2 linked regions of the Struthio camelus genome follow. The protein of the gene in region 2 binds, or shares a complex with, the protein of the main gene of each other region. Links are inferred from orthologs where the notes say so. Each region holds a gene or a part of one and is shown on either strand. Other genes may lie near its edges.

What was found.
Region 1: ARVCF (region 2) and PA2G4 share a complex: the UniProt entries of both Homo sapiens proteins name them as parts of the ribonucleoprotein complex. The link is inferred for Struthio camelus from reciprocal best matches to the Homo sapiens genes ARVCF and PA2G4.

What each region holds. Positions count from the first base shown.
Region 1 is NC_090969.1:602,666-613,362, forward strand, and holds the start of PA2G4 (proliferation-associated protein 2G4), read right to left. Parts: upstream 4,606-10,697; 5' UTR 4,421-4,605; coding exon 4,333-4,420; intron 1,461-4,332; coding exon 1,332-1,460; intron 689-1,331; coding exon 583-688; intron 376-582; coding exon 306-375; intron 1-305. Other genes in the region: ERBB3 (receptor tyrosine-protein kinase erbB-3), read right to left, coding at 6,248-6,756, 8,000-8,279, 8,346-8,417, 9,037-9,192, 9,265-9,362, 9,825-9,971, 10,042-10,117, 10,455-10,610 and 1 more. UniProt on the Homo sapiens protein: May play a role in a ERBB3-regulated signal transduction pathway. Seems be involved in growth regulation. Acts a corepressor of the androgen receptor (AR) and is regulated by the ERBB3 ligand neuregulin-1/heregulin (HRG).
Region 2 is NC_090958.1:11,441,731-11,451,927, reverse strand, and holds the start of ARVCF (splicing regulator ARVCF), read left to right. Parts: upstream 1-5,812; 5' UTR 5,813-5,994; intron 5,995-6,583; exon of another isoform or gene 6,584-6,656; intron 6,657-10,197. Other genes in the region: TANGO2 (transport and Golgi organization protein 2 homolog), read right to left, coding at 4,625-4,660. UniProt on the Homo sapiens protein: Contributes to the regulation of alternative splicing of pre-mRNAs.

The sequences.
Region 1 (10,697 bases), on a different chromosome or scaffold from region 2:
CAACTTGCACTTGGTTTGTCTCAAACCATTTGTAACCTTGCAAAATTGTACATGTTGAAACAGTGCGTCATCTCGCGTTTTCCAGATGACTGAATAATTTTCAAAAAACCAGACCGTTTTCTTCCCGACACTGTTGTGACACCAGAGCTCAGGAGCCTTTGCAAAACTAAACAGAAACTTCTGTGACGCTCTACACTGCAGCCTTTGGGAACTAGCTTTTTGGGAACATCAGCTTTCTAATATCGCCCTCAGATTGCACTGAACGCAGCAGCTGTAAGACATACACCATTCCTTCAAAAACCTACCTTTGATGCATCTATGACAAAACTGTGTGCTACGTTCGCTATAAAACCATCAACGTGGACTCCCAAGTCACTGCAACACAAAGAGTTAATTACAGGTGAGGCCTCACAACGCAGGAAACTTGTGCGACTTCTAAAAGTATTAGCAGAGTCTCAGGCATGTTTCAAACGCTTTACTAATTAGCCAAGCCAAGGAAGGATTTAACACACCAAGTAGTATTAACGAGCGAAGCCCAGATGCTGACAGTAAATTCATGAGAAATATAACTAAGATGCTTACATTTTGACCAAGTCTCCGTCTTTGAGGATGTAATCTTGGTCACTCTTCAAGGGGGAGAAGTGACAGACACAGTTATTTACCGATATACTCGTTGGGAAGGCAATACCTATAAAGGGAAAAAGAAATATTCCATAAGTCTAGCAATCTCACACGCTGCACAGGCACAGACAGCAGCCCTGCCACTGTGGTTTGTCACTTAGGTTTTAGTCGTTTAAGCATCGTAAAACACTCCATCCATTACCTAAGGCTCTAGCCAAAAAGCCATAAGGAATCTAGCTTGCGGCAAGCTCCTACACTGGCCTTCTTTTTGTCCAGACAACCATCAAAACAAATACATCCAAGGCAGTAAGACACTTGCAAAAGGGACCTCAATTCTCCAGAACACAAATCACGGCGCTTTCAGTGACACACTCAAGTGTCACACAATTTCCATGGCAACTACAGACCAACTATAACCATATAGCAGGTCTTCCTGAAGAGAGGACGTTGTCCAAAGTAAGTCTCATTTCAATGTGAATGATTGGGTAAATCAAAATGGGAAGCTCAAGCTTATCAGTGATGCTTATGAACAGGGCAAGCAGGACGATTTGGATCAAAACTGGTTTTCTAGGAATGGTGAAGTATTTCTTACGCTAATTAGAGCAGAACTGTGCTTTCCATGCTGCTACTCATTCATGCCAGCCACCAAACAACACAACAGGACAAAAAATATCCTCATATTGAAAAAGTTTCTTTGGAACAGGCCTCACCTTTTTTCATTTCTTTTTCCTTCTTGAAAATTTTGCCAGTCTCTTCCATGATCATGGCATCTCCCTTTTCACACAAGCAGAGAACTGATGCTCCAGAGTTTGCTGCTTCAACCACTGCACGCAGGACCCCTTAATTCAAACAAAAAGCTGTTGAAGTACGTTCACCATAAACAGCCTTAAAACTAACAGCAACCCTCATCACACAGCCCCACGGTGAAAAAAGAAATATATCCATCTGTTTTCTAAAAAGGGACAAGACTGTTAGCTCAGCTTTTCACCAAGGACATAAGAGAAATCCCATTGTAATTTTTCGTTTTAAGAACTGACTTTCCGGGAACACTTTCACAGAAAACATGAGCAAGCAAACATACATTGGGATTTGCACAGGTGAAGTGCAGCAGTTTCAGACACCCATCTATACGCTCGCAGGTCTCTTAAACAAAGAGGCCAAGCAGAAACATCACTCTCCCACATTCTTTCCAGAGAAGTCAGAGCTTCAGAAACAGGTTTGAAAATTACTTGGGAGACAAAATACACAGCACATCAAAAGAGCAGGGGGCACTGTTGTGGACGTGTAGGACTATAACGTACAGATCAACAGAAAGACTTTGCTTGGCTCAAGAGCTGGCACCAGCACAGAACTAGCACAGCAAAGCCAGTTACATTAGCCTCTTTGCAGGAGCACGTTTTAAAGGTAACCCACGCTCCTCCTCTCAGTCACGAAGGCCAGGCAACACAAGCAGCTTACAGCATGCTTTCTGCCATCAGGAGCTTTACGTGCCTTGCTCCGCACTGGAGGTTAAAGAAAGCTTTGCTGCCTGTTTCCTGAATGTTGCTTGCATCTACTTTTGGACGTATTCTAGCTTTGTGCCTAGGAGTCTCATCAGCATTTTGATTACACCATAGCAGACAGCGTGCCTTATAGTATAAATGGGTAAAGGAATGTAAAAGCCACGGCTCGCGTTGAAATCCTGCAGGCTCACATTCATAAACACATTGCGATGGTATTCTAGGAGTAGCAGCCACGAAGGCCCAGGAGCTGCTGGAGCAAGCCACATACGTCTTGACTGCCTTTCTACCAGTCAGCAGGCCAGGAGCCAAGGCACTGCCTCTGTCACCGGCTGACTAGCTGCTATTCCCCTCTCTTCTTCCTCTATCAAACTGGATACAAGTCTTAAAGCTTATCCTCTAAAATGTTTTGGGATCCAGGGATAAAAGGTACACATGCAGTTTCTCCTCGCTCTGTGAGCGCACTGTTTTTACAAGAGGCTGTTTTGGAAGTGTCTCTATTTGCTGGGAGTTTCTGTTACCGATAGTGTGTGCTCTAGGTACTACAGCAATAAATACTTCTGAAGTGCTTAAGACATTTACAAGCAGATGGTTTTTCATAGTTTCTTTGACATAGAGTAAAAACCAAAAATCTTTCACCTGCATGATTGAATTCAATTTCAAATGACTTCAAGCAGTCATCTTTCCATGCGTCATAGATGGTTATGAATTCGGAATATTTTACAGTACAGATAAAACTGTGATAAAAAAGACATTTAGTGGATAGCAGGACACAGAGTTGAAAATAGAAAACGTCAAAACAAACACAGCAGAAAGATAAATGGAGAGCCGTGTTCATCAGAGCATTAGAATGAAACCAAAAAGCAGAGAGTGTAACAGCACTGACCAAGGAACATCTCTTAATTGTATTCTGTCCTTCCACAGGGCTTCATTTAGGAATTAAAAGCACTTTATGTCATTAAAGGCACGTCACACTGACAAGTACCCAAGACATTTTGAACTGGAAAGCCTTTTTGTCACAGTTCTGGATTTGATGTTCCCAAACACAGTCACAACACTACCAAGAGAGAAATGCTGCGATCAATCCACTTTTCCTCTCCGGGAACGGGGGTGTCCCCTCCGTGTAGCTAAACCTGTGGCATAACCTCTCTGCACCTTGCTGTTACATCCGGTTTGCCAAACAGCCAGTGAAAAACCAAAGAACCGACCTTCCTTCCCCAAGGGGGGGAACCTTTCCCCCCCGCCCCAGAGCAAAAAGGTATAGGGCCAGGAAAACACCAGCTAGCAACCCTTGTACCAACTAAAACATTACTGCAGCTTTCAAAAACCACGTCTTTCTCTGGAGCTGCATCCCAAGTTACTATGAAGAGCGATGACTTAAAAAGAAGCATTGGAGTCAGCAACAATTAGTGCGGCGTATACCACTACTGAAGCTGCTCCTGGAGCGGCGGGGACCTCATAAAACCGGTCCAGTTAGCTCTTTAAAACAGCTGTCACTTTTCTCGAGGGGGTTAACTAACCACCCTTAATGATACAGCAAAAACAAACGCTTAAAACAAAAACTAAAAAAGGGGAGGGGGGGGTGTTGGAATAACGCGAGGCGACCGAAGTTTGCAACACGCATAACACGTCTGACGAGCCCACGCCGAGCCCCCGCGCCCGGCTTGAGGCGGCTGCAGGCCCAGGAGCCGGCGGAAGAAAGGCGTTGAAGCCGCCGGCTTTTGGGTAAAAATAATAATAATAATAAAAAAGATGGGGGGGTGAAAGCGGCGGTGCGGCTTCCCGGGGACGTTGGCACAAAAGAAAGGATTTTTTTTTTTAAAAAAGGGGGCAGCCCCGACGTGGGGGGTGTGGGGGGGGGCAGGATGCGGGCAGCGGCGGCGCCGGCCCCACATGGCCGGGCCACGCGCCCGGCTGGCGGCGGGAGGGCGGGCGAGGCCGAGGGGCGCCGGGCCCGGCCCGGTCGCCGCCGCCGCACGTGGGGCGGGGAGGCCACGTGCGGGAGCGGCCGCCGCGTGGGCACCGGAGTGGGGGGGGGGGGCCTTCCTGGGCCGCCCCCCCCCCGCCGCTGTGGGTGGGTGTGTGTTGGGGGGGGGGTGTTAGGCCTCGCCGCCCACCCCGGGCCCCGGTGCATCCTCCCCCGCCTCCCGCCGCCACCGGGCAGGCCCGCCCCCCCCGCCCGCCCGCCTCACCGGCCGCGGCCCGCACTCACGGTTGGCGATGTCCCCCCCCATCTTGTACTTGGTCACCACCAGGTCCTCGGCGATGGTGAGCTCGGCCGCCTCCTCCTCGCCCGACATGGTCGGAGCCGCCTAGGCCCGGCCGCCGCCGCCGCCGCCCCCCTCCTCCTCCTCCTCCTCCTCCCTCCCGGCCGCCGCCGCCGCCGCCGCCGCCGCGCTGAGGAGACCCCGGGGAGCGCGAGCGAGAGAGCGCGAGCAGGGCAGGAGCGCGGGCTCCGCGCGGGGCACGCTGGGAAGCCGAGTCCCCGCCCCCCTCCCGCGCCGCCGCCGCCGCCGCCCGCGACTACAGCTCCCGGCGGGCCCCGCGCCCGCGCCCGCGCCGACTACAGCTCCCGGCGGGCCCCGCGGCTCTCTCGCGAGAGCGAGTGGGGAGGAGGCGGGGCGGCGCGGCCGGAAGTGGCGCGGAGGGCATTCTGGGAAGTGTAGTCTGGGGGGTGGCGGGTGGGAGGGCAGGGCGCCCCCCTGCGGTGTGGGGGGGGTTGTGGGGGGGAGTAGCGGAAGCCCCCCCCCCCCCCCCCGGCACGGCCGCTGCCCCCAGCCCCATGGCACTGGGCCCTCTGCCCCACACCGCCGGCCCCAGGCACTGCTGCCAGCCCCAGCCCCACGGCAGCCCCCTGCCCCACAGCACCAGCCCCTATCACTGCCCCAGCCCCATTGCGTCCCCCTGCCCCATGGCCCCAGCCCCATTACCTCCCCCTGCCCCACAGCCCCAGCCCCTGTCACTGCCCCCAGCCCCATTGTGTCCCCCTGCCCCATGGCCCCAGCCCCACTATCTCCCCCTGCCCCACAGCCCCAGCCCCTGTCACTGCCCCCAGCCCCATTGTGTCCCCCTGCCCCATGGCCCCAGCCCCACTACCTCCCCCTGCCCCACAGCCCCAGCCCCTGTCACTGCCCCCAGCCCCATTGCAGCCCCCTGCCCCACAGCACCAGCCCCTGTCACTACCCCCAGCCCCATTGCGTCCCCCTGCCCCATGGCCCCAGCCCCATTACCTCCCCCTGCCCCACAGCCCCAGCCCCTGTCACTGCCCCCAGCCCCATCGCAGCCCCCTGCCCCACAGCCCCAGCCCCATTGCCTCCCCCTGCCCCCATCCCCACCCCCCGCCCCACAGCCCTGGTCCCTGCCCCACGGCCCCTGCCCCACACAGGCGCCGGCCGTTCCTCGACTTCCCTTTGTCTTTATTTAGCTTTTAACAGACAGACGGGACCCTCGGCCCCACGGACGGGCAGGGGCACGCGGCGGCGGCACCGAGCCGGGGCGGGGGGCAGGCGGGCCCCACGGCGCCCCTCCGCCGTCCTCCGTCCCCGTCCCCCTCCAAAGCCTTCGCTAAAGAAGGGGAGACAATCGCAGGGGTTTTATGTTTTTGGCCCCGATTGCGGGGCTGCCGCCCCACCTACCCGCGGCCTCCGGAGGGTCGTTACCCGCGCCGGCGGCCCCTCATTAACGAGGAGCATCCCAAACCTGCGCGGCCAGCCTGCCACCGCTGCGTGGGGGGGTGCCGACATCCCCCCCAAACCTTCATCCCGGCTCCGGCAGGGAACGGGGACACCTGAAAACGACTTTGGCTTCCTTCTGGCCCAGAAATCCTGCCGATTCTGCCCAAAAGGCAGCCCCCACCCCGCCCCGGCTTCGCGCTTCCCGCAACAGCATCGGCTTTGCCGCCAAACCCCAGGAAAACGGGGCTTTCCCGCGGCCGGGCTCCGCCGGGAGCCGCCTGGGGAAACTGAGGCATGGAGCGGGGCCGCCCCGGGGAACGGGGGGGGGGGGGTCCGTCCACCGCGCTTCGGGCCCCCCCTTGGCCATCGGGCTCGTGCCCCGTGCCGGGCGCGCACGGGCTGGGGTGGGGGGCGAGCGGGGTGGGTTTTTTTTTGGGGGGGGGGGACGACCCCCTACGTCCGCTGGGCGTCCGCCTTGGCGAAGAGGCGGCTGTGCCAGTAGTCGGGGTTGTCGAAAGCGCAGTCCGAGGCCTCCAGGCTCCGCAGGGGCTTCATGAAGGGGGTCGGGGGGCCGGGGGGGCCGGGGCAGCGGGCCAGCCGGGGCGCCAGCACCGCCTCCATCTCCTCGTAGCCCTGCTCCTCGGCCGCCTCGCCGGGCCGCATGTCGGTGTAGCCGTCGTGCCGGGGGCCGGCCACGCTGCCCAGCGAGCGGCTCAGCCGCGGCTGCTTGTTCATGTACTCGTAGTCTTCCTCCTCCTCCTCTTCCTCCTCCTCCTCTTCCTCCCGGCGGCCGGGCGCGGGGGCCGCCGGGGCGCCCGGCTCCGAGCCCACCTCCATGTACTCGTAGCCCAGCTCCTCCAGGGAAGCCGGCCGGGCGCCGGGGGGGGCCCCGGGGCGCCGGTTCATGTACTCGTACTCCTCCTCCTCCTCCTCCGGCGCCGAGCCCCCGGCGGGCTCCGGCTCTGCGGGGCGTCGAGTGAGACGCCGGCTGGGTCGTCCCGCCCTGGAGCCTGCCCCAAAATGGCCCCCCCCCGCCCCGGGTTGTCCCCCTGCTCTGCTGGGACGGACCCGACCCCCCCCCAGCCCCATGGGGATGGGAGCCCCCCAGCACCAGTCCTGCAAGAACGGACCCCCCCCACACCCTGCATGCACAGACCCCCTCCGACCCTGCACTGATAGACTCCCCCCACCCTGCATGCACAGACACCCCCCCTGCACTGATGGACCCCCACCCTGCCATGACAGACCCCCATCCTGCATGCACGGGACCCCCACCCTGCAATGACGGAGCCCCCCCAGCAATGTCCCCCTGCCGTTCAATGATGGACCCCCCACCCTGTATGCACAGGACTCCCCACCCTGCACTGATGGACCCCTCCCCCCAACCCTGCATGCACAGGACTCCCCACCCTGCAATGGCAGACCCCCACCCTTGCATGCACGGGACCCCCCACCCTGCATGCACAGGACCCCATCCACCAATGACGGACCCCCCACCCTGCAACGATGGATTTCCCCCCAGCAATGATCCCCCCGCAATGATGGATTCTGCATGCACAGGACCCCCACCATGTAATGACAGACCCTCCCCACCCTGCATGCATGGGACCCCCCACCCTGCATCCACAGGACCCCCCATCCTGCAATGACGGACTCCCCACCCTGCAACGATGGACCCTGCATGTGCAGGACCCCCACCCTGCATTGATGGACCCCCCCGCCCTGCATGCACAGGACCCCTATCCTCCAGTGACGGACCCCCACCCTGCATGCATGGGACCCCCACCCTGCAATGATGGACCCCCGCCCTGCATGCACAGGACCCCTATCCTGCAATGACGGACCCCCACCCCGCATGCATGGGACCCCCACCCTGCAATGATGGACCCCCGCCCTGCATGCACAGGACCCCTATCCTGCAATGACGGACCCCCACCCCGCATGCATGGGACCCCCGCCCCGCAACGATGGACCCTGAATGCACAGGACCTCCATCCTGCAATGATGGACCTCCCAACCTGCATACACAGGACCCCTGTCCCGCAATGACGGACCCCCACCCTGCATGCACAGGACCCCCACCCTGCAATGATGGACCCCCACCCTGCATGCACAGGACCCCTGTCCTGCAGTGACGGACCCCCGCCCCGCAACGATGGACCCTGCATGCGCAGGACCCCCAGCCCTCGGCGCCGGCCCCCTCACCCCGGGCGGCGCAGTTGGGGGCCACGTAGCCGTTGGCGTCCTCCTCGCTGCCCTCGGTGCTGGGGGGTGGCGGGGGGAAGCTCTCGCGCTGCGACAGGTAGGCGCTGTCGCCCCGCGAGCGCAGGCTGCGGCAGAGGCTCCCCGAGAGCGACAGCCCCTCGGCCAGGTCCAGCTCCGACGCCGTGCCCCGGCCCTCCGACGACTCCGACACCGTCCGCCCCAGCGACTCCTGCCGGCTGCGCCGCGGCGGCCGGCCCCCGCCGCCCTGGGGGACACGGGGCTGACGGGGGGCTCGGCCGACCCGCCCCCCCCGCCGCCCCCCGCGCCCCCCGCCGCCCCGCGGTACCTGGCGGCCACCGCCGAGGCCGGGCTGGTTCATGGGGATGTAGCCGGCCGGGGGGCTCAGCAGGCTGGGGCTCTGCGGGGAGAGGCGGTGGGTGACGAGGCCGGCCGGGGGGGGACGGACGTGCCTGGGGCCTGGGACCCCCAAACCCTGCCCCGTGCTGTGCCCGGGACCCCCTGCCCCATACCCTGCCCCACACCGTGCCCAGGACCCCCTGCCCCATGCCATGCCCTGTGCTGTGCCCAGGACCCCCTGCCCCACACCGTGCCCAGGACCCCCTGCCCCATGCCATGCCCTGTGCTGTGCCCAGGACCCCCCTGCCCCAAACCCTGCCCCACACTGTGCCCGGGACCCCCTGCCCCACACCGTGCCCAGGACCCCCTGCCCCACACCGTGCCCAGGACCCCCTGCCCCATGCCATGCCCTGTGCTGTGCCCAGGACCCCCCTGCCCCAAACCCTGCCCCAAACCCTGCCCCACACCGTGCCTGGGACCCCCTGCCCCAAACCCTGTGCCATGCCCGGGACCCCCTGCCCCACACCATGCCTGGGACCCTGTGCCCCAAACCCTGCCCCACACCGTGCCTGGGACCCCCTGCCCCATGCCCTGCACCCTGCCCCATACCCAGCACCCCCTGCCCGGGATCCAGTCCCGGGGTGGCCAGACCCCCGGCAGGGAGCAGCGCGGGGTCTCACCCGGGCAGAGCTGCCCCGCGGCCGCGAGGGGTAGAGCCCGGCGGCGAGGCCGAAGGAGGCGTCCAGCTCCTCCTCCTCCAGCTCCAGCGTCTCCACCTCGTCCAGCTCCTTGTCGCTGAGGGTGGGGGGCTCGGCGGGCGGCGCGGCCCCGCTCTCCTGCCGCGGGAGGCCGCGTTAGGGGCTGCGGCCCCGGGGCCGGGGGGGGGGTTTGGGGGGGCCCGCGCTCACCTTGATCACCAGGTAGCGCGGCGGGTCGCGGGCCATGCGGGTGAACTCGTTCGCCAGCTCCTTGAAGGTGGGACGGATGTTCTCGTCGATCATCCAGCCTGCGGGCAGCGCGGCCGCTCAGCCCCGGCGCCGGCACCCCGCGGACCGAGCGAGCCGGGATGCGCCCTCGGGGGCTGAGCTGGGACTCAGCACCAAGCTGGGACCCTGGACACCGAGCCAGGACCCCAGGGACCCAGCCGGGACCCCGGGACGGAGCCGTGCTGTGCCCCTGGGATGGAGTCGTGCCGTGCCCTGGGGACCAAGCCATGCCGTGCCCCTGGGATGGGTCCAGGCTCCCGGGATGGGGCTATGTCCCTGGGATGGAGCCGTGTCCCCCCCGGGATGGAGCCACGTCCTCAGGATGGAGCCAGGCTCCCGGGGACGGAGCCATGCTCCCGGGATGGAGCCATGTCCCCTGGGATGGAGCTGTGTCCCCAGGATGGAGCCGTGTCCCCAGGGAGGGTGCCGTGTCCCCAGGACGGAGCCGTGTCCCCAGGACGGAGCCCTGTCCCCGCACTCACACTTCACCATGACCATGTAGACGTCGATGGTGCAGATCTGGGGCTGCGAGAGCCGCTCGCCCTTCTCCAGCAGGTCGGGCACCTCGGCGAGCCGGATCCCGGCGTAGGGCTCTGCCCCGAAGGTCATCATCTCCCAGAGCGTCACCCCTGCGGGGACAGGCGCCCGTGAGCCCCCGCGCGAGCGCCGTGGGGCCGGGGCGCCCGCGGCCGTGCTCACCGTAGCTCCAGACGTCGCTCTGGTGCGTGTACTTGCCGAAGTGGATGCTCTCCAGGGCCATCCACTTGATGGGCGTCTGCAAAGCAGGAGCCGCGTCGAGGGGCGCAGGGGGCCGGGGGCAGGGACAGGACCTGGGCTGGGGGTGCTGGGCCAGGGGGTGTCGGGGACCCGGAGCAGGCAGGGGACGCCCCGCGGCGCGGGGGGGGCGTCGGGGACCCGGAGCGGGCAGGGGACGCCCCGCGGCGCGGGGGGGGCGTCGGGGACCTGGAGCGGGCAGGGGACGCCCCGCGGCACGGGGGGGCGTCGGGGACACCCAGCAGGTAGGGGACATGGCACCCCGGGACACAGGGGGTGTCGGGGACCCAGGGTGGGGGGGGGACATGGCACCCCGGGGCCTGCCGGCGGGCGCCCACCTTGACCTCGTTATAGAAATACTTCTTGTCGTCGGGGTAGAGCAGGTCGGCGATGCCGAAATCGGCCACCTGGGCCTGGCTGGGCGACTTGAGCAGCACGTTGCGGGCGGCCAGGTTGCGGTGCACCATGCGGTGCTCCTCCAGGTAGTACATGCCCTGGGGCGGGGGGTCAGCGGGCCGGCGGGGGCTCGGGTGCCCCCCACCTGCCAACCTCCCCCCCCCCCGGGGACTCACCTTGGCCAC
Region 2 (10,197 bases):
TTATGGAGTATAAGTGTAAATAGTTAACAAGATCTGTGCAAAACCACACTGAAGAATCAGAAACCACACCAAAACATTCAAAAAGAAGATAACACATTCCTTTAACATCTTTATTTATAATGGTAAATGAGTATTTACAACAACAGTAGAGAGCAAAGTGGCTTCAGTGAGAGCCAAAATACTTGAATCTCTATATAGGTGGAATCGACTCAGTCAAAAAGTTAATGGCCGATAAGAACAACGAACGGGAAGCCTGAAAACAATTCAGCTAAATACATTGGCGAATCTCACTGAAAAAGACAGTTTCTGTTATATATTTACCTTTTAAAAACAGCATGCTTACTCAGCAGAGAGTGACCTAGCAATCAAGTATGTCTCCAAGCATCCTGAGCCCCTGTCAACCTTACCTAATCATAAGGGATCTCAAAAACAATACTTTCAACAAGCTGAAATACCAAGAGTTTTTCATGTCTTTCTGTGACTATTCCTTCTTCAGGTGCTGATGCAAAAGCATCACTGCACTTTCAAACAAACACTTGCAAACTCTTTTTCAAACTCTTGCATGTGACAGAAATATCAGCTAGCCACTGCTGATATTGCTTAACCAAAGGCCATTGCTTAACCAAAGAAAATAAGTACTGTCCCAACATGTAATGCTGGATTTGCTTAAAAAGAACCCAGTAACTGCTGTTGCATAAATGCAGTGGAAGAAAAAATAGCTTATTGTGCAAAACCTCCTCGAGAGTAACTATTTTCTTTAAGCTTCATTTGGCAACCTGAGGCACACAACCCCCGCAAGCGGCTACCCCAGAGCTCGGTGACGGGGCACCCAGGGCCCGACGGTGGGCAAACCGGAGCCGTGGCCGGCCGCTCAGGGCACGGCACGGCACCCCGGGCCCACGACGTCGCAGCCTTAACGGCTCTGGCCCCGAAGAGCCGAGAAGCCTGACCCATCGTGCTCTTCACCCAGCTAACTGGAAGGAGGTTTAAAAATGGCACCGTCAGCCACACGAGCGCCTCAGCCGCCGGGAGGCTGGTTTCAGGCTCCTCACTCGCGACACCGTAGCGAAGTCCAGGCTATTCGGGAGCCCGAGGCGCGAACCGCGAGGGCGGCCGGGGACGGGGCCCGGGGAAGGAGAGGCCCCCGGCCCAGGAAGGGGCAGGGCCGGGCCGGGCCGCGGGACGCCGAGCCCACGCGCGGAGCCGCGGCCCCCCGCGGCAGAAGGGCGGGAGCCCCTGAGGCGGCAGCGACACGCGCCCGGCCGCTCCGTACTCACCCAGCGCGCGGCGCGCAGAACATCACCCGACTTCCAGGAAGCCCCCTCGGGGCGCTGGGCGGCGCGCACCCTTATTGGCTGCGGGCGCCCCACCCCCGCGCGCTATTGGAGGAGAGCTCTCCCCCTCAAGCTTTCATTGGCTGGCTGGCCCGTCGCTCAGACGCTGTTGCCAGGGTTGCTCGCGCACAGGTGTCCGTTGGGCTCCTCCCCCTCCTTCGCCCAGTTGCCCCAGGCGCCATGGAAGGCCGTGGAGGGCCGTGGGCGCCCTTCGTCCCCCCCGGGCTGTGCTGGCCCCACGTCCCTGGCGTCGCCTGCGGGGGGAGGAACGGGGCGCTACAGCTGCCGGTGGGGGTGTTTGGAGCCCGCCAGTGCTGGGGGCTTAGAGGACGTTGCCTTGCGGCATGGCGCCGGGTCCCTGCCCGCCACAGTGGGCGCCCGAGGTGGCGTCTGGCGCTGTGCGGCTGCCCCGGCCTGCTCTCACTGTGCTTTGTTTCAAGGTGTGAAGTAACAATCTCAAAGGGACAAGAGGCCCGATCCGAGCTTCAGAGGGCTCACGTAGCTGAGGACTGTTACGCCCAGGACAGGGTGAGTTTGGATCTAGCTACTGAACCATTTCTGGAACGAGGGCACTGCATGGGGTGTGCGTCCAGGGGACTGCGCTCAGGAGAGGCACAGCTACCAGAAAGGCCATGGAGTCATCGAAGCAGGGCAGCTTTTTTGAGGATGGAGGAAAACACGAGTGACAAAGTCAGCTCTGCTTTCAGTTATTAAGCGCAGCATGATCAGAACTGATAAACCTTTGGTAATTTTACATGGAACAGATTTGAACTGGGATTGGACCAGCCCTACCTCTTTGTCCTTTCGCACTGAAAATACTGACTCAGCTAACTTACAGGTTTTTCAAACAAGATTTCAAACCTTATTTCTGACTTTTTCACAGGTGGCAATAGAGAATTTCAGTGGAGCCTATAAATTTAAAATTCTTTATGGTAAACTCTGTAAGGAAAAAGAGTGATAAAAGCCTTGACTGCTCTTCTGGGTTATAACAATAATATAAAATAAACACAGTACACAAAAGATACGTAACACTAATGCAAATAAAAGACCTCCCCAGGGCTATATGAGTAGGTAACGTGGCTTGCTAGGTAAAAACTCTCATCTCAGACTCAGAAAACCTGAAGTTAATTGTTAGCTTTACCACTGGTCTGTCATATGACATTGAGCAAGTCATCTCAGTACTTTTTCCATCTTCAACATGGGGATGATAACATTGACCTTCATAAGGTCTTTTGAGATCTACTAATGAATGTGCTGGGTAAGTATATTATCATCATTACTGGTACTATTGCTTTTGAAACACAATGATAGATTGTATTTATTATCTACATATACACCAACCTCAATACATATAAAGCAAAAATAGATTTATGTTTTCAGTTACAGAGCTGTTATTTAAAGCAGTTATCTGACTGCAGAAGTAAACAAATTATACAAATCTCTTAATCTCTGATTGATGAAATGCCTGCATGTTAAATGCATAAATAGTTCTTCGCTGTCAAGGAACTGTTACACCACTCTATATCTCACAGCATAGGCTTATCACAGCGACCAGAAATTATTTAACTTCTATGCTTAGTGCCATTAAAAATCCTCAGATTATCATAGGTCTGCATATCTTCAGTAGGAGTTATGTCCCTGGGGAGAGGAAAAATAAAACTGTCTGTCGGCCTGAAACTTAATGCTGTTAGTTTTTACTCATAATAACCTATTTTTAATGTATGTGTGAAGTTAGAATAACTTCAGAGTCATTAAAAAACTTTGTTTTTTTAGGATCCTTCACAAAAGCAAACCACTACAAGGATTTGTGAATACTGGATTTGGTGGCCGTTCAGATTCTTCCTTCTATTTCCTGACTTTTTGTTCTGCCTAACAGACCCTGGTCAATATCGTCCTTCTTTAGACTCCATCTTTGGAGATCTCTGTATAGCTTCCATTGTCCATCAAACTTAAACAGTCTAATCCCAACTGGACAATGGTTCTGTATCCATTTTAATTATCATTAGTGAAGAGACTGGTAGTAGCTAGGAGCGCAGAACCTCTGCTGGAGAAAGCTAAAAAGCAGAGAAAAAGCTCGGAGAAAAGCTTGCAGAATTTTTCGTGGTCTCAAAATTTGAGAGAGAAATAGGCATTGTTTAAAAACCTTGTTCTATCTTGTAAGTGTGTAAATGAATGTATGTGTCACATAGAATGCATAAAACACACCTTAAATGGATTAAATATCTTTTCATTGAGAGCTCTCAAATTGTAGTTGATAAGGGGGAGACAGCAGTGACCCAGGCAGAGCTTTCTAGAAATCAGTTCTTGAGCTGGTAGTGTCCAATAGCTCTATCAATTATCTAGATGGTGACGTGAAATCCTTACAAGTAAAATTTGCAAATGACAAAGCTTAGTATATGAATGGATAATTCACATGACTGATTAGTTACAGAATCATCTGATGTGCCTGATTAAATCATCCCAGTCCAATAAAATTCATTCTAATATTGGAAAATGCAAGCAAATACATCTGGAAATAAAGAATGCAAGTGGATTGCTACTAGCTTGGCAAGGAATAATTCAGAGTAAGAATTTAGCTGTCGCTATATATAAATGTTTCAACATGACCTCTCAGGATAATACTGCGGTAAATTGGACTGATGTAATCCTGTAATGTATAAAATATGGAATATACAAGAGAGAAAGGGGAGTGACATTGCCTTTGTCCAAGCACTGCTAAGAGTAGCATTAGAACACTGTGCCATTTCTGGCATCCACAGCTGAGGAGGAGAAAACACTAGAAATAATTTAAAGGAGGAAAATAAACATAATGAAGGGAGAGATGACGAGATGTAAAACAGCGTTTTAGGAAGGGTCTTAGGAAGCTCAAGTTATTCCACTTATCAAAGAGAAGGCTGAGAGGTGACTTGACCACAATGCATAAAAACCACTGCACAAGAAAAAGCTATCTAAAAGTTAGGTGCTTTTCAGCCTTGGTTCAACACGGAGATCAAAGGGTGAAAAGGTTAAGTTAGCCAAATCCACCAGCGATCCCTGGCCAGAATTATCTGTCCACAGTCCACCGGGTTAGTTAGTTCTCTGTCAACAAGCGTTTTGGACCTAAGTTGCACTCAGCATCTCCCAGTCTACAGCTGGAAAAAGTACAATTTAGTCTCCTAAGAACAGAACTCTCATAGCTGTACTGAAGCCCCTGGGCCTTATGTATTAGTGTGCTGGAGCGTTTAGTGCTGTTGACGCGCAAGTCAAATTAGATGACACAACGGTCCCCGCTGCTTCTGATGAAAACATACCGTCAGCGCAGGGCTCCTGGAGGGAGCGGGCGGCATCCATCCTGGCAGCAGCGGCAGAGCCGCGCGGCCTTCTCAGCCGCGTGCAGGCTGCTCTGTCGGCGCCCTGCCGCGGAGAGTCTCTGCTGCCAGGAGGCGGCTTTGCCTCCCGCAGCTCCTGCCCTTCGCAGCCTGCGGGAAGGTGCCGCGCCCCGCGCAGTGCCGCCCCGCGCGCCGCGGAGGGGGCGGGCCGCGCCGCTCGGACGGACAGCGCCGCTGGCCAATGCCACGCGGAGCGGCCGGCCGCGGCGCGGCGCGGAGCGGAAGGGCACCAATGAGAGTTCGGTTGCTGGGCGCAGCCGGCGAGGACTGCCCAATAGGAAAATTCGCGGCGCGGGAGCCGCGCGTCGGTTCGTGTGCCGGCTGCAGACAGGCAGCGCGAGGCAGGGGCCGGCGGCGGGAGCGTTGGTGGCGTGTGGTCGCGGCCCCGGCGCCCGCTGCGGCCCAGCGCCGGGCCCTGTGGCGACCGAGGAGGGCAGGCCAGGATGCCTCTTCCCTGAGTACTTCTGCCAAACGTGAATGTTGAGGAACGATTAGCGCCCGCTTAATAAAAGAGTTGGAAAGGCGGCCACCAGCGCGGCCCGAGTGGGGAACGCGCCCCCCCCCGCTCCCTGTGGGCCTCCCTCGAGGAAGGCTCAGCCGGGGCAAACTTCGCGGCCGGTTAATTTTTTAATGCCGTTTTTCAGCGTCGCCCTTGGTCGTGTTTTTGAGGGTGGCCTTCGGGGCTGTAGAGAGGAGCGCGCTCCTCAGGAGGTGGCGAGCGGCCAGGCTGGGGCGCAGGAGCGGGGACCCGGAGGCAGGCCTGCAGCAAGCTTGGGTGCTTGGTAGAGAGCGGAAACCGCCCGCGTGGTTTTAGAGTGCAGCTAAAAATAGTAATTAAATAAAAAAAGGTAAATGCAAAAAATGGGTTAATGATTTGCCCCCCCCCCCCCCCCCCGCTCGTTGGATAAAGATGGTCTTGGCTACCCTTTGTAAATAGGGAGGAATGTGGAGGTGGGAGGGGAAAATCAGCCCGGCTCCGTCGACGATGTTGCCTCGGCGGGCAGGGGGGCGGTAGCGGGGCCGGGGCAGCCGGGCGCGGGAGCCGGGCACCCGCCGGGCCGCGCCGCGCTGCACCGCGCCGGGGCGGGAGGGCGGCAGCCGGCGGCGGCACCTCGCAGGGGCGAGGGGAAGGCGAGCGGTTTCGTCGGTGTGCTGCTGAACGATTGCCTAGTGTTTTACTGAAGAGTTTTTCCCCCCCCCTCCTTTTTTGTACACCCGCCTCCTGTGATACCGTGAAGCCAGCAGAAGCAAGGAAAATAAGGGCAGAGGACTAGGAGCAGGCGGAGGAGATGGTGAGCAGCGCGGTGGGCTCGGGGGGATGAATGAGGTTGCCGGGCTGTTTTCTGTGAGAGATCTCGTAGGATGTAAACCACCTTTGGGATGGTTTTGCATCACGATTGCATACTAGCTTTCTTTGTTTGCAAAATGTTGTCGTTTAGGCTTTAACAGCGCTCTTCGGTTTTTTGTGAGGTACGCAACGAGAGGTTGATATGTACGGATGGCTAAAATTACATGCACCAGCGACACACGCATGCTACCACTAAACAAACCTACATTGTCTGTGTTAATCCTGCAATGTGACGGGTAGTTCTTCTCATGTAGGGAAGTCATTGCTCAGGTTATTTGTGGCATGCATAGGAGATGAGTCTCTTTGTAGCAAAGAGCAAACAAAACTAACCTATTCTTCACAAACGTGAAAAGGTTTAAACCTATTACAGTCTTAACAGACAAAGTAAATTTTTCTTGTTTTTTCTTTTCATTTTCCCTGAAGTACTGCTGTGCATGATTAAAATCTAATTAATGTTTGCAAAACTTGAAGAACTCTTTAAAATGTCTAGTTTCGGCATGCAAATAGTAAAGACCCCTTTCTCCCTTATACAGGCAAGTGTTAAAAACGTGGAAGAGGGAATTCTTACATCTGCTTCGTTTTTTACAGTGTACTCTTGTGCCTTAGGTAGGTCAAAATACAAAATTGGATTCTTAGCATTGTAAAAAAAAAAAAACTAAGCTGATTTTCAAGGCAAGCAGGAATTTTGTTTTGATGCTAGTAATATTTAAAATACTAGATAGAAGTTTATGGGGAAAACCCCTATTTTGTATTAATGAGAATGATTTATGGTAAAAATCATGATCCCGAATGACAGAATATTGACATTGACTGATTGTATCTTCCCATGGCTAAAATGCTGCAGCCTGTATTAAGTACATCACCCCTTTAAGCTTCTATGAGTTTAAACATCTTGTTTACAACGTTTTGGAGGACTACATGGCACACTAGTGAAACCTGAAATTCTGATGGCTTTGAAATATCACAAGGCAGTGTAATAAAGATAACTGCAGTTTCATATTTAATCTGCTTTGGAATAAATGATGATTTGTTATATGAAATAATACAGCATATATATGATGACTAAAGTAACTGAAAGGGCTGGATAGTTCATAGTTTCTAGAGGAAAAAATAAGTTGTGAGGTATGCTACACTCCTCAGCATGCAAGATATTTGGATGGATGCGTGTTAAATTTATTTTAAGCAACATCTCTGTAAATGCTTGTCTGAAATATTTAAATTATACGCTCCATTAGGCAAATGGTTTTATCTTTCCATTGCTTGGCTAGAGGAATGTATTGAGAAGGCGAGGTTTAGAGGAACAATACAGTTTGACCGCATAGTTTCACTGCATAGTTTATCCTCGTGTATTGTTCAGAGATGCTTAGATGGTATTTTATCTGACATTGGTTGTCATCGTAGCAAAGTTGACTCTGCTGATCTTATTTTTTTTATTTTTTTATCCTGTAGATGCTCTCAACATGAATAACTGAAATTCAATTAATGTCACTATAGATTTGATCTAATATTTAGACATAATTGATGAAAAACAGTTCCCACCTTTGATTTTCATTCCTTCACTGCAGGGATTTTGAATGGATTTTACTCTTAGCAATTCTTTAGTATTGGAAGGACTGATAGGAGTTAGAAATAAAGAGAAATTCATCCTATATTTAGTTAGGACACTGCACTGGAAATGGCAGAAATCCTCCCTTTACTTATACTTTAAATTTTGTTCAAACCGCAGCTTAGGGATGATATTTTATCCTGAAGGCCATCTGCATGCATATAACAGTTATATAAAGCTGAGCTTCTGTATCAGATTTTATGTAATGCAACACACTATATTTCTGCAGTGTTTTTGATGGATTTTACTTAGTGTCTGAATTGATATACTGTGAGAAAGCCTGTTAGACTTCTTGTACTACCAGATTTATAATTTGTTGCTCTTAATATTTTATTGTGTGAGTATAAATCATTGACACCAGTGTTGTCTCTTGCTTAGCTGTAACGGCATTTGTTTACTACATCTATCTTATGCCTTTCCAGTATAACCAAAATATGACAGTATCTTGTCCAGTGTGAATGCGTTCTGTGACTAGTAGCCATCAAAGCAATCTTCCAAGCAGGAGGTTAGGTCAAATTTTTTACTCTCTTGCCCCTCTCTACAAAAAGAGAAAAAGGTCAGCTCCAGGGTTATACCAACATGCACAGGAAAAGAGTTTCAAATGCATTGGATTCAGTTACAGTATTTTGACTTTATATGAGTCACCTGGAAATTAGCACTGAGCCTTTTTTTTTCCTTTAATTAAAGTGTCCATGTTTTTACAAAATGTGTTCTTTCCATAATACAGAACACTTAGGACACACGTGGAACTAGGCAAACATTGTATGTCCTTCAGAAAAGGGGCATAAAGGCATGATGTTGCTAAAGCGTTAAGGACATGAGCAAGGAGATCTCAACTGTTCTCTTAAATTCCTGATTGGGTATGGTCCATGTGTGTCCTGAATGTGGTTAGCCACATATCTCAGACATTTGAAAAAAGTAGGAACTGACTGCAATATTTTTGATATCTCTCAGCTAATTTGTGTAAAAGAAAGCCAAACCCAACAAACTGTGGCGCAAGTTTTCTTCCCCCATTAGTTCTTTCACTCTTACTCTCACATTTCACAGGCGACCAAAAGTAAACCACAAAGCTACTTCTGGTTCCATATGCTGAGGTTCTAGGGTTCTAGCTCTTCTGGGTTAGCTCTGGCCACGTTCCTTTTAAGTAGTATCCTAGACAAATAACTTGGCTGATTTCAGTGACTCTTGCTCTTTTTGAGTGTCTATTTTTCTGCAGTGTTATAGAACAGGTGGCTCAACTTAGTAAGATCCAGCCTTTTGAAGGTCTGGCAGTCAGCCTTATGGCAGTCACATTTTCAAGAAGTAGCATTTTGGTGTATACGCATGGCTAATCATTTAGTAGTAAGTGGACAGTGTCTATTATTCATCACTAATTTATATACACACTCACGACACAAAGTATCGTTTTAGAGTCCTGATTAGACTCATTGATTGCCATTGTTTTTTCGGTACAGTTTGACATTTTTATCCACCAAAATACGTGCCCCTTTTGGAATGTCAGTTAATCTTAGAAATTAAAAATGTGCAAGAGACCCATTAGGAAAATATGTATGGGTGACATTCCTAAATATTTTAATCTCTCGTAGAGATCACTTCAGTTTAGCTAGTTAGGCCTATATCTAGTCACTAGGCTACAGCGTTCAAAGAACGTGACTGAATATATCTTAACATTTGTCATTACTTGAGGCATACCGATATTGAAACAAACATCTTCTCTGTGAAGATAATGAATCTTAGCTAAGGAACACACCTTGAGGAATTTTTGAATATTGAGTATATTTTTTAAGAGCAAAATTAGGATTGTAGATCACAGGTTCCAGTTGAGCAGCCAGAGAAAGTAATTGTCATCCAGCAGTTGTGTAACGGCTGTTGAAATGAGAGTGGTTGATTGTGGTTTAAGAGTCTGATGGGCAAGTCCTCACAGTCCTTCACTGTGGTTTCGGAGATCTCAAAATTTTGTTGACCCAGGAAAGAAATGATTGTCAGTTTAAGAGGTGGCTCACCCATTTTAGAGGCCAGGTAGGTTTGGGAAGCCTGTAGAGATTCTCTCCCTCCTTCCGTATCTGTATGATCAGAAGTAAATCTTCCATCCTATAAATTTATCATGTTTTTTGGCTATTAATTTACTTACAAATAAATGGAAACTACAAACTGGATGTTACATAATTATTGAGAAGAATGGGACCATATAAAGTAGAGCTTTTACTACAATCTCATAAAGGCTATGGAGAAACCTAATATTGGGAGGTATTCGGAATTATTTTAAGATATTGGATTAGAGAAGTATTTTTCAAAGGAAAATATTGCTTCTCCTCCTAAGCAGAGACTCTTTAATACTTCTTACTGATAGTACTATGTTTTGTACAGCTTTTACAGAAATCAATAATCATCAACAATAACGATAGAAACTCCTGTCATCAGTGATGACAGTCTTTGGTTATAAGTGAGTGATGTGGGTGTTGGTGTCTGTAGCATGAAACTAACTCTGGTGACAGTGCTGGTGGCAGTATTACAAGATATTAAGATTCATTAAGAAAACAT